Mytilus edulis: one gene and its partner. The protein of the gene in region 1 interacts with the protein of each later gene in a biochemical or structural test. Links are inferred from orthologs where the notes say so. Each region holds a gene or a part of one and is shown in the gene's direction. Other genes may lie near its edges.

What was found. The genes of interacting proteins can lie anywhere in the genome.
Region 2: the proteins of phosphatidylinositol 3,4,5-trisphosphate 3-phosphatase and dual-specificity protein phosphatase PTEN-like (region 1) and peroxiredoxin-1-like form a complex in vitro, tested with the Homo sapiens proteins (2 studies listed by BioGRID and IntAct). The link is inferred for Mytilus edulis from reciprocal best matches to the Homo sapiens genes PTEN and PRDX1.

Annotation. Positions count from the first base shown.
Region 1 is NC_092352.1:74,135,702-74,142,663, forward strand, and holds the start of phosphatidylinositol 3,4,5-trisphosphate 3-phosphatase and dual-specificity protein phosphatase PTEN-like, read left to right. Parts: upstream 1-3,937; 5' UTR 3,938-4,179; coding exon 4,180-4,255; intron 4,256-6,962. UniProt on the Homo sapiens protein: Dual-specificity protein phosphatase, dephosphorylating tyrosine-, serine- and threonine-phosphorylated proteins.
Region 2 is NC_092344.1:55,541,848-55,549,352, forward strand, and holds the start of peroxiredoxin-1-like, read left to right. Parts: upstream 1-4,484; 5' UTR 4,485-4,647; coding exon 4,648-4,794; intron 4,795-6,230; exon of another isoform or gene 6,231-6,247; intron 6,248-7,505. Other genes in the region: uncharacterized protein, read right to left, coding at 982-1,017. UniProt on the Homo sapiens protein: Thiol-specific peroxidase that catalyzes the reduction of hydrogen peroxide and organic hydroperoxides to water and alcohols, respectively.

The DNA of each region.
Region 1 (6,962 bases):
TTTCCATATGGCCTAACGTAAAACTTAGTTTACGCTTCGTTCAAGAGAGGGACATACTAAACGAAGAAAAAGCTTCCCAAAGCACTGGCTTGCTCAACCTACTAATATTCATTGAAGAGCCCTATTTCAAGGCAATTTTCCTCCATCCAATGAGAATATTTCATGATAAATGTTTTGCGTGTTAAAATTTTGGCATTTTAAATAGAATTACATCTCATTTTTTAAACGTTTTTATGGGGAAATCACATTTTATAAACGTTTTTATCGGGGGGGATCAAATGAAAATAGTAAACTATTATGGGGGAATCAAGAAAATTGTATATGTTTGATTTCAAAATGACCAGCCCCCTTCCAGGTAAAAAAGTATTTTTTGGTATTATATTGATTCACACATAGGGTCTTTTCACTGGAAATAAACACATTTATTCTAAAACCAGCTGTTGTCATGATACGGGTTATGTTCTTCTCATATATTTTATGATAGTATGATACTGAACCCTTAACGGAAGGGACTGTGCTTGATTTTCATATGATGAAGACAGTTTAATTCAGGTCCGTAACTGCTATAGTAGTCTTTTGTTATTTTATGTATCATTGTCATTTTGCTAATTTTCTTTTGTTACCTATTCTGACATCGGACTCGGACTTCTTTTGAACGAGTTTTACTGTGCGCATTGCTGTGTGTTTCTTTATTCTAAATTGGCTGAAGGTATAGGGGAGAGATGAAATTTCACAAAACATGTTGAATCCCAGCGCATTTTAGCACCTGTCTCAAGTCAGGATCCTCTGGCCATTGTTAGTCTTGTATGGTTTTTTAATTTTAGTTAATCAATATGTTTGGAGTTTAGTATGATACTGAACACTAGTACACATTTTAGAGACCAGATGAGGCCCACCTCTATGTGCAGGATTTCCCCCCTGCGTTTAAGAGCAATTGATGGCTAACGACTGTTACCCGCTTTTCGGTCGGGTTGTTGTCTCTTAGACATATTCCATTCGAAATTCAGTCATAATATTTAAAATAAGATGTGGTTTGATTGCCAATAAGACAACTCTCCACAAAAGAAAAAAATGACACAAAAAATAACTACTATAATTCACCAGTACGGTCTTCAACAATGAACAAATCCCATACCGAATAGTCAGCTATAAAAGGCCCCGAATTGACAATGTAAAAAAAATCAAACGAAAAAACTATCGGCCTTATTTATATAAAAAATGAACGAAAAACAAATATGTAACACATAAACAAACGACAACCACTGAATTACAGGCACCTGACTTGGGACAGGCATATACATACATAATGTGGCGGGGTTAAACATGTTAGCGGGATCCCAACCCTCCCCCTAACCTAAGCCAGTGGTATAACAGTACAACATAAGAACGAACTATAAGAATCAGTTAAAAAAGGCTTAACTCATCAGATGAACAAAAATTCAAGTAAAATTGCCAATAAGACATATTTTCACAAAAGACCAAATGACACAGAAATTAACAACTATAGGTCACTGTACGGCTTCAGTCAACAATGAGCAAATCCAATACCGCATAGTCAGTTATAATAGACCCTGAAATAACAAATGTAAAACAATTCTAACAAGAAAACTTACAGCGTAATTTATGTACAAAAATGATCGAAAAACAAATATGTAACACAGCAACAAACGAAAACCACTGAATTACAGGCTCATGACTTTGGGTAAGCACATACACACAGAATGTGGCGGAGGTTAAACGTGTTAGCGGGATTTTGAACCTTCCTGTTAACCTGGGACAGTGGTGTAACAGTACAACATAAGAACGAACTATACAAATCAGTTCAAAAAGACTTATCTAACAAAATGGATACAACTGATGCAAACATTAATACATCTAACAAAAACACAGAGTGGATGTGGCCAGGTACTTGTACATCTTAACAACAAAGAGACAATAAGTACAGATCTAAGAGTACACACAGTTACTGTCAGCTAGTTCAAAACCCCCTAACCACCAATTAAAAAAATCATGCATCTAAAACTAAATTATCAATCAGTACACATCCAACATACAATGGATTTAGTGAAAAGAAGTCATAAACAATCATGTCTATCATCTTTCAGATAAAAATTGTTTTCTTTTGGTTCGGCCTGGGACTCATACATTGAACGCCTTCCTACAATGCAAACATTTTCTAAATCATGAAAATTGATGGTAATTTTCCAATTGTCGTTATTAACCAGTCTCCCTTTCCGCTAATAATTCCAAGAGAACTAGACTAATTACCGGGTTTGGATATACTAACTGGAACAACACGACGGGTGTCACATGTGGAGCAGATTTACTTACCTTCCGGAGCAACATCAATTTTTTGTAAGGTTTGTGCTGCTCGGTCTAGTTTTCTGTGTTTTTGTACTATTGCTTGTCTGTTTTCCTTTTTTGTTAAAGCCATGGTGTTGTCATTTTATTTGTAACTGAAGAGTTTGGATATCAATATCTTTCGTTTCTCTTTCGTATCATGAAAATGCATTCAACAGCTACATGTAGTGCTGAATAACATTTTGATTCCATAAATATGCTGTGTAGTCTACCTGTTACCTGTTGTTAATGGGTATTCACGAATTCGGAATTAAAAATGTATTATATAAATTATATACTTCTGCATAACAAAGGATTTTCATATTACTGCTTTTAAAATCATTGACTTAATAAATTATAAAGAAAGATCGAAGTGTTATCAATTTCCAGTACAAAAGAGCCGCACATCATTTGAAAAAAAAACCCTGTTGTATAACTAAATAAATGTATACGTTTTCGTATTGACAGTCATGCTATTTATCAAAGGGATGGATTGGTTATCAGGACTATAAAATAAAGAAGCGAAAAATGGGCAAACAAAAATTACAGAGAAACATGGCTAATGAAAATAAAAGAATATAAATAATGAAGATCATCCTTTTTTTTTATCGATAATGGTTATCACGGGGATATAATTTGTTTGTCCTGCTAACCGTTTGACTCTTGCAGTTTGTGATATAAAATTCTTCTTCGTACCAAGGAATTGTTTATATAATATCCTATATATATATACAACAATTGTTCGTGCAAAAGTATTTGAATGAGGTGTGAAAAATGAAAATATAGAGGGCAAATTCAAAATAATAAAGAGAATGCCCCCCCCCCCTCTTTTTTTGCTCATAAAAATATGAAAAAAGGATTGGCATGCAATAAAGAAGAATAGTTAAAATGGAAAAAAAAACAATTAATTGAGAAAAATATCCTAAAAATGAATCCAGAAATGAACAAAATCCCTTGTCCATCAAGACCCTCAGACTAACAACCTAATTCTACGTACAGTTTTGTTTTCCCATAATAATATCAGTCTTTCAAATAGTTGTAAAAATATTACGGCATCAACAAAGAAAATATCAATAAATTCCAGTTATATTACTGTGCTTACAAGTCAATTAGTTGTTTCTGCTAATCATGCTAATGTTACATGTAACCAAAAAATAATAAGCAAGTTGATTGGTTTTATTGCAGATAAATTGTATACTCCATTTATCTCCCTTTTCTTATGTATAATTATTTTTTACAATGTTATAGTTTGAATGCATATTTTTATATATTTTCCAGTCGTAATTTATGAAACACTCCTTTGTTACACATTTGTTAATAAATGGTGCCTTGGGTATTTACCCTAATCGATAGATCAAACAAAACATTGTGTATTGCAAAGTATGTCAATGATTAGTGGGTCAGTAGGTTTTCTACACACAAGGTTGACCTTTGACATAGCTTTATCAGGTTAGAATATTTTCGTATCTTCGTAAAAATGGAAACATTCTTACAGTTTAATATTGTATAAATATCATGATTTAGCCATAAGTGTTAAATAAATATTTTTAAGTGTGAAAGGCTGGAGATTTTAGATATCTCCCCACATTGATTGGTCAGCGGAAGGATATCAAATCAGGAAGCCGCCATAGCGAAATAGCGACATACAAAATGTAAACTGAAATTTGTGTCATTTATTGAATTTTGTCGTTTTGTTTACATGTAATAATGTATTGTTATCATCAATGAATTTATTTTTGTTCAGAAAATGCAGTGACAAGGATATTAACATTCGCTGATTGAGTCGAAAGACCTGTTGACAATTTTTCTTGATTTCAAGTTTCAACTGTTTTTGTGAAAATGGATTTTTTAAAAGGTCTTGTCAGTAAAAACAAGAGACGGCACAAAGTCGACGGATTCGATCTAGATCTAACATGTATCCTTTTTACAGTAAAGAGTTTGTAATAGGTATGAAGTGTATCACATAAAGTTGTGCAGCTAAATACATGTACATGTATGCTGCCCCCATTTTTTTTTAATGTATGAAAAAACGAACGAAGAGGGACAACAAACATATGCTTTTATTGTTAATGATATCTAAAGGGGCCAACTGAGAGTTATTTACACAGATTTTTAGTATCGATCAACAGAACAATATGAAGATCCTACATATCGTTATTTTGGATTCTGAGAGAAACTAACTTGACCAGGTTGATGGCGATCCTTATAATTGTCCTTTATAGTGCTTCCCTTTACCTTAAATTATCAACATGTGCAATCGCTCTGTTATTGTAGTTTTACAGCTATGATACATGTGTATAACTTATCAGTGACATCACAATGTTGGAGAAGTTATCCATGACTTTACAATCTGAGAAGAGGGTTTATAAGGAATCTTTTTGGTGGAACGCTTTCGGCCTTTCAATTTCATGTGTTTAGGCATTTTATTTCTCGTTTTCTTGTGTTTGATTCAATGTGCGTGCTTCATTTTTCCACTTATTTATTTTCCGTGTTTTTGTCTATTCAAAGTTGACAGGTACATCAAACTACATGTACTTCAAAGTTGGCCTGGATATTGTAAATATATGGTATAAAAGTCTATGAAATTACTATGAATAATCTTTTTTTCAAATCAGTTGCAACTAACAGACGCTACAAGTAAACTGGTCCGCCGTTCTATCTATAGCTTCGCACCGAAGGAACAGGTTGGAGCTATTGTCACATTGGCATTAATTGGACGAGTCGTACAAATTCAACGATTCGCTAATAAAATTGGCCAATTAAAGTGATAGGAATTGACCTCAAATGTTACTACTGCGATGCCGCAGTATACACAAGTATCTGTTAATTAACCCCATGGTGGTACTGGCAGATAAATGACCAACGAGCGTGTTAACATGTTCTTGACAAACTGAGCCGGTATCTTTCATTCCCTAAAGAACTCAGTAGGGTTATAAATGTGCTAATTTCTCTTTGATTTGCTATCAGTATAATACATAATCAAACATAGCACATGATGTACTAGTCTTGTCAAATTATTAAATCCCGTGGTCAGAATTCTGACCACGGGATTTAGGCCATACCTGTTGTCAGTGTAGCGATAAGTGAACACAACAGGGGTCCAGTTTACGCTACAAGGTGACTGCAGGGTCTTTATTTCTATAAACAATGACTGCATAATCTCCTAGAAAGGCTGAGTAATAATTTTCAATACTTTTTTCATTAATACTTACAATTTTATTTCTTGTGCTTTGTTTTTCCCCGATTTTTAATTTCTTTTCAACTTTTTTGTGATTTTTATTCCATGTTTTTCTGTATTCAAAACCCACCTTTACCATGTTTACCACCCTCCGAAAAAATGTTATGATCAACACACTTTTATCATATGAGGGTAATAGAACCTTTTTACATCAGGCTTCAAACGGTCATTTTCGGCTACGGTTTAAACAATCAAATAGGTTAAAATTTTATTGTGATTCATCAATATATCTGGATTGTGATTTGTCAGAGTTCTGAAATAATTATCACAAGTAGCATCATTTTTTGAAAAAAAAGAATGTGATGCCTTAAAATCAGTCAATTTTTATTTTATTGTTGAAAAAGAAATTGTATATTTTATCATCATGCGCAAAAAATTACTGTTAACATCAATTTTCAAGAATTTTTATTGTTATACGTTATGAAGGCACCCATATTACTATCTTGTTTTATAATGATCAAAAGGAGGGTGAAAAGACCAGAAGTAGCATGATTAACAGGTCATCAGGTTTCCAAACCAACATTATTTGGCAGTCATTCTGTATCTTCTTATTTACATTTAAAATCCACCATTTTCTACATTTGAAAATGTCTGTACCAAGTCAGGAATATGACAGTTCTTGTCCATTCGTTTTTGATGCGTTTTGTTATTTGATTTTGCCATGTGATTATGGACTTTCCTAATTGATTTTCCTCTGAGTTCAGTATTTTTGTGATTTTACCTTTTAACTATTTTTCATAAGTAAAAAATCCTTAATTTTAGTTCAACTCCTTTAGCACAATCTTGGGCGATACATGTACCCCAACCCCTATTTAACAATATAATACCCAATTCGGTACTGATTGACAGTAATAATGGTAATGAGTTTAGGAAGTCACAGGTTCAAACCACAGCTGGGTCAAACCAAACTCCAAAGACTTTAAATTGGCATTTGCTGCTATTCCGCTAAGCCATGTAAGCAGTGTGGCAGATTAAAGCATGGTCAAGTACGAAGCAGGGTTAATATTTATGTTATATTATCCAGGACTAGCATATTCTGGTCCTAAATTTGCGGCTGGATAATAAGCATATGCAGCCTTCCACCTTTATTAAAAGAGGCCTAGGCCAATACAGTTAGCTATCAAAATGAACTGAATCTATACAAATTATCTTCCCTGATAATGAAACCCTGAAGTATGGTGTATGCTCCAAAGAAATCATCAAATTATCAAGGACTGTTGGACAAGAAGGTAACTCCTTACCATTTATCATTTTTATTACCGGTAACTGAAAATTTTCCTATCAAAACTTCCAACATTATTAGCATCTGCATCTACATGTAGCTTCTTTGAATTGTCTTTTTCAGAAAAAATGTGATTTGAAAAAACATAAAAAAAAATAATCT
Region 2 (7,505 bases), on another chromosome or scaffold:
AAGAAATTTAAAGGTCCCAGTAAATAAACTCCACTGAGAACAATTATACCTTATCGTATTCTTTCAATGGGACAGTTCATTGATCGAAAAATTAAAATTGACACCTGGTAAAGCTACTCAAAATCAGGAAAAGATTCAATTCTTAAAGATGCAATAATTTATATAATAATACAAAATGTACAAAGAACTGTTATCATATCATTCTAAAAAATGTACCTACTGTTGAGAATTGTATTCTTTCAACATGTTCAATGGGACAGTTCATTGTTCATGTTGTTCCAAAAATTTAAATTGACACAGGTATATAAAGTTACTGAAAATGCGGAAATGTCCCATATAAATTTAAAAGTTCATGTTTATTGTTAAGCTGCACACCTTAAATCTAAATAAATTTTAGTTTTTTATAATTATAATATAGAATAGAATATTTTTATACACCAAATTAGGGCTCAGAAGGGCATATTATACTACTGGCATATATATATAATTACAAACAATATTATTAAAATAGATCTATAAACAATAACATATGCAATATACATGTAACATGTGTAATAAAAACAACATATATATATATACATGTACTACAGAAAATACACACAACGCCTGCGTCCTAGGTTTTTTTTTAAATTGCCTTGCCAGATGTCATAATTATTTGAACTAGTATAATGCCTAAAGGTATAAATTCATGATCATTTATGTATGCATGTTTGTATACATCATTAGTCATGATTACATGTCATTATAAATAAGGTGCACAGATACACTAGACTGCAAAGTGCTAAAATTATACAGAATATAAAGGGAAAAATATATAACACAACTATAAACATTAAAAAAAAATTTGGGGGCAATAATTTCACCTGTGCAATGTGCGGGAAAAAGCGTTCAACAACGTCAACGTGTTCACCATATTCGCTTAAAGTTATCGCTTAAAATATAATGATTTTCAATGTGTGATTTGATTTGCATCAATTTTACCTTATTAACTAGTTTTATTAAAGATTCGTCTGACATCTTCACACTGTTACTTTTATAAGCTCCACAAGGCTATCAACATGGAAATCCGCGAAAATTATAATGACCGGAAGCTTCTATATTCCGTAAACTGGATCCCTCACCTGTACATTCTCTCGACAGAGATGCGGCGATGTGCACAGTACCCAGGTCACATGCAATATTAACCTTGACGAGATGCTACACGCCCTACAAATGTTTTAGTGAATATTGGAATGTAAAAATTGAAATTTAAAGATAGAAAAATAAATAATACTTTTATACATAAAATAATTACATTTTTTTTATACTGATTTCAGACAAATCACTAATCTCTAAAAGTAACAAATTAGAATGTGATGCTTTCTACATGTTTTTGTGACTGAGGTGATGGGCAAAGATTATTTATCATATTTTTTCATTTTCATTGAGTCAATTAAAATTTTCTATACTTTTAGCCTTTGTTATTTTTTTTTTTATAAAAACTCGTCTAATGGAAGCGTTTTTCCTGCAATACAAAAAAAAAATGTTTCAAAAGTTCATTATTAGACCACTTTCGAGTTCATCCGTCACCGGCAAAAACTCGTCAATTATGCACGCCTTTATGACGTCACTTACCAGATAGAGGGGCTCGCCTGTATCCCTGCACTATTTACGTTCATCAAGCGTCTTAGTGATCGTCTTTGTGCAGGATAACCTAGAAATAACGGTTGCTCTGTAGGTACTTACTGACAATTCCCTAATGACAGCAGTGTTGATTGTCAATTTTGAGAATTCAATTTGCCGAATAATTCGTACAATATAGAATTATAGTTTTCCAACCACTCGCTCAACATTGGAAGGAAGTGACGACGCCCCTAAACGCAAAAATGACGGTGATAAAGGCGCGTATAATTGACGAGTTTTTTCCGGTGACGGAAGAACTCGAAAGTGGTCTGAGACTACTATAACACATGTGTTATAGTAGTCTCAGTGCAGGTGTAACCCGGCGGAGGGTTTTTTACGTTCTGCATATTTTCTGTGTCAATTTTTACATATTTTACCCCAGACCGTGTAGTTTAAACATATTTATTCATTGTGGATTGGGAAACAAGTTATAAATACAACTTATATAAATCCCTCTCCACTGTGTAAAGAGTAGGTATCGGAATCATGAGTCTCTGGTCCTTCATATGTGGCTTTGTAGGACTTAACACTATCAAGTTTTCATAGTTTATCAATAAATTACAATTTAGCAAATATCAACAATAATGAAAATATAAAAGTATTCAAATGTAAATAAGTTAAAACTCACATAAAAGTGACAAAATATGGTGAGATCCAGGGGCGGATGCAGGAATTTTCGAAAGGGGGGTGCTAACCCAGGGCAAAGGGGGGGTGCCGGGGGGGGGGGGGGTGCAAAACATATGTCCCGATACAAATGCATTGATCGGCAAAAATAAAGGGGGTGCGCACCCCCGGACCCCCCCCCCCCCCCCCCTGGATCCGCCACTGAGATCTGTGCAAGACCAGCAAGACTGAAGATAGACATTTTGTTCTATAAATAACAATGTCATCTTTCAGTCAGTGGTAAGCTAGGTCTGTGCAAGACCATCAAGCTTGACTGACTGGCTATACAGCTCTTGCACGGTCAGCCAACGTGGGTCAGCCATTTAACAACAACAAATGGAAGCTTTTAACGACCTTGACTGGCTATACAGCCCTTGCACGGTCGGTATTTCATTTTCAAGCCGGGAAGTAATGTTGTTTCAAAAATAGGCTCTCCGCCACACAGGACTGACACAACCGGTTTTCCATAGGGATTTTTATGTGTCTCCCCAAGGATGCATAACTAACATATAATATACGTCCTTTGTCTCCCTTTTTCTATTAACAAATTATGATCACTTAATCTTAATTTAGTGATACTACGTCTATTTTCAAATATATAAGAATTCAGATATGTTTCTATTAAAGTTACTTTGTTTTAATGTTTTATATAATAGAAGTTTACTGTTATTGTGTATTTTCTCAAATGTATGTTTAGTATAATTTTCCTTTTTAACTTTTAATTCATGCAGTTTTAAGTGTTTTTATTTGGATTAGATTATTCAGGGACTTTCTATAAAGTTAGTGTAGAAAGTCCCGCTGGATTCTTACACTCCTCAATATGCTTAAAATCTACATTTGCTTCCTTTGCAATGTTTTGTATACGTAAACCATGTATAACATCCTGCATGCAGAGTCTAGATTCTTTGATACAGTGAAAGCTTCACACAATAAGGGACTATACAATTATTTAGAAGTCTTGTTAAATATAGTAAACTTTGGACCTTTATTTTCAATGTTAATGGATAGCGACTCAGTTCATTCTTTTCTTACTGCAGAATTTGATGCATTCTTTCGGTTCCCGAAATATTTTTACAAAATGATAAATGAAGTTTTTCAAAACAAATTTTATCAGTAAAATCAGGAAAGTCAATTTCTTTATGAGATACATTTGCCCTCTTGACAGCTCTATATAATGTTATATATGATATATATACTATGTATCCATAAAAATAACCTCTGAATTATATGTAGCAATTGGCTTCACCATAGTATTAAACAAACTACATATGCTATATAATGTATAAGTACTTTCTTATATGATCTTATATTACGGATTTTTTCTCAGCAGTGGGAGTTAATTCCCTGACCGTGAGTATTATTTAAAGTTTTATCTTGCAGATTATATGCAGGCAAAATTTTGATGTTTGTGATAAAAAATTCTCTAATCGACGATGTTGAAATTAGTAGGAGTAATTGAAATAACAATACTTTCAAGAGTGTTTTTTTTTTTTTAAGAAAAGAGGGGCGCAGTTGGTTCCCATAGGAGTGCTTATTGATTTGCGAAAAACATGTCCTCCAAACGTAACAAATATGTTGTCAATCAAGATATCAAACATCTTGATAATGTCATTTTCAGCTGAGAAGTTTATGTTTGAATCAGAATGATTTATTTTTGAAGTAGATAGGATTTATTGACAATTCCTCCCTAATTAGTCTAGATAAGATACTTTTAAAAGATGTAGTTATATGTCTCTGAAATAACATTTTCGTTTTTTTTTGTGTTAATTTTTTAAGTTCAGCTAGAAACTGATAGATATTCAGATAAATTTTGTTTTACTTTCTTTAGGTGTTCATTAAAAATTGCAATGCGCTTTTTATACTTAAATGAAGGATTTGTTAAGTAAGACACATACCGTGAGGTATACAAATCCTTGCTCGAATTAATCACCTACTAGTAACTGTATAGTAGCATTATAAATTTGAAATTTTTCTATAAATCAACCTAAAGTTACTAAAAAAAATTAAAAATTTTGCACACTATTAAGAAGTTATACAGTTTTATAAATTGTGTTAAACAATAAAAAAAAAATACTCTGTTTAAAATGCTATCGTTGGATAACAATATTACAATGGGTGCTCCACAAAGACTGGGTGCTCCAATAGAATGGAGGAACATTAACTGTAAAATGAAAATGAAATTGTGAACTGGGAACCAGAACCACTTTCGTTTTTGCGCAGCACGTGTGGAAATAACCGGCTAACCGGCATCTAGAACAATCGACCTGAAAAGCTATTCAAGGACATTCTCTGGTCAGTTTTATGTAAATTTCATATTCCAAAATGTCATTGAAAACATTGTACAACCTCTCAAAACAAATCAGCAGCAACGTTTTAAGGTGTAACCGATATACTTATAATATCCGGTCAAGTTCAGCACGACCAGGACATCCTGAACAGTTTCATTTTTCAAGAAGAAAATATTGTACGGTAAATCACAAAGAAAACCCCAAAGATTGCACCAAACTGCATGTTTTCATTTATAATTATTTTTTGATTGTTTATGCATGTTGGTACAGTTACATGTATGCAAAATACGAATTATTTCAACCTCTGTATAAAAATTATCTAAGATATTAAATTATTTGAAATTTATCATGTTTAATATAGGGTTTCCTTTTTGAAAATTATATTTTAAAGCGTCTGAAGACAATTTCCACTGTTTTCTTAGTCCAAAAATAGTAATAACACCTTGACAATCTGTTTTTATTTATTCCTGTGACTGGCATCACAAAAAATGTCATAATTATCAGTGGGGGATCCAGAACTTTTTGTATAAACTAAGGGGGGGCTGCTCCAGCCATGCTTCAGTGATTCCCTATATAATCAACCAAATTTTTCAAACAAAAGAGAGGAACCCAGGGCCCACCTTGATCCGTCTATGATTATATGGACTAAATTGATCTGTTTTCTATACACAGGCACTTGTTTCTATCCATGGGAGCTATCCATGAGAAGACCATATATCAACGTAAATATATGTTGATACAGATAGTGGGTCTTTCTATGGACTAAAACAAGTGCCTGTGTTTCTATATCTTACAAATGTATCTTTGATCCTTTTGAGTATAAGTTCCTCGATTTTCATTAAATTATCTACAACATAATTAGTACAAATAATTATGACGTCTTGGAAGGCTATTTTAAATTTTTGCTTTGACACCTAAAAAATATGAGCTGTTAAAAAAACTAGTGTGTATGTATCTGTACATTTCCTGTTTCAGTCCATATGCTCCAGTCATCACAATCAGCTAGGACTTGCCAAGTGCTGCAAAAGTTACTAGTCATTGACTCATTGTCCCTGCTCTATAAATATCCTAGTGAGAACATTTAGAGCCATGTTTTACAGCCTTTCATACAGGGTTATACGCTTAAAGCATTGGCGCATTTATTTTCCCCTGACAATAGTCAATATCTCACGATCAGGTGAACACCTTAAGAAACAAGTGTGGTTAGTAAATCTATCGGTCTGGCAGAGTCCCAGGGTCCAACTGACCTTGATCTTTGGTAAAGTTTTCATTAAACATTCAGTAGAACCTTCATTAAACATGTTAAAAAGACTTAAGCATATAAATGGGGCACACTCATGAAAGCAGGCAATTTTTTCGGCATGTGAACTCTTGTTTCACCCTATATTGTTTAGATTTGTCCACATTCTAGTGTTTGTGTAGAACAAATAATAAAAGAAAAGAATCTTTTAGTGGCAGAAATGTAAGAACTCTGCTTATTATGTCTTCTCCGTGACATATTTATGTACTAAATACTTAGTCTTTAAACTGTTAATCTTTATATGAAAAAAGAAAACTCATTATGAGATTGAATCTTGCATCATAATTTTGCAGCTGCTTCTTTTGAATTGTTTTCAGGAGGAAATTAATCTCAAGTAAGTAGATTTGTTTGGTTCTGCTTTGCTTAATAGCTTTGCTTTGCACTGCTTTGACATGCAGAAGTTACAAGGTAATCACATCGAAAATCACTTTACTTAATAGTAAATGTGGATGATAGTTCCTGTTTTTTTCTCTCTGAATTTATGGGCATGCATAATCAATTTGACGCTAACGATAGCTGTAAATGGCTGTTTGACGCCTGACGGTAAAGGGCATTACTATCTTATATCTATTTAAAAACTAGAAAAATTGAGTTTCAGTTTTGAAAACAAAAGTTTATGGCCAAGAAAAGTTGTTTATCTTCAATTAATAGATAATCTCTCCAAAAAGAGGAACAGGCAAAAAATAACAAACTACACATGCTCCAGATGAAGATTTTTTTTTTTGATATTAGATATTTGATAATATCTCATAAATAATGATGAAAATCATAATTTAATTCCTAGTTTTGGTCATATGGTTTTGAAAATGCTAAATATTTGATACTTTTCCATTATATGGGATATATTCTATTCAACAAGATTAGTTCTCTGTTACTTATAAATGAATTCTAATATATATATATATACTGGTAGATATTTGCTGCTTAGCTTTGGATATATATCATGTGTGTTACATTTATATATATGTACATGTACTATTATTATACCTTACATATATTTTAAACAATTCTATTGGGTGAAACGTTGTCACGTGACATGGAATAATTCAGTTGTTTTTCATTCAATTGCAAGGAAGGACGAATAACCCTAAAAATTTCCACCAGCGGTGAATAACCCTATTATTCACCGGCGAATAACCTTTTGAGATTGTTGATTTGTACTTGAGTTATCTCCCATGATTATGACGTCACAGACGTAAATAAACAAAATGGCAGCGTTCACGTTACAGTTGAAGCTCACCGAGAGACGAAGCAGAAAAAGGAAATAAGGCATTAGACATGAATAGAGTGACAGCAGCTGATGATAGCTCTTATAGAGTAACGGTCCTTTTCAGGGCCATCAATATTTTACAAAAAGATTCTACTTTTGTTGTACAATTTAGAAATTCTAGAACACAAATGTATTTTCATCTGACGTCAACTTGTCTTTGACTTTGTTATGTAAAACATATAGAAAGTGTTCGAAAGGCCTTTCCACTGTTAGTTCGGTATAATAAATCAATTGTGGCCCCTTAGAATCGATGAATATCCAAAATTGTCAACCCTTGAAAGTTATTTCACTTCGGGCTGCGCCCTCATTGAAATAACCTTCT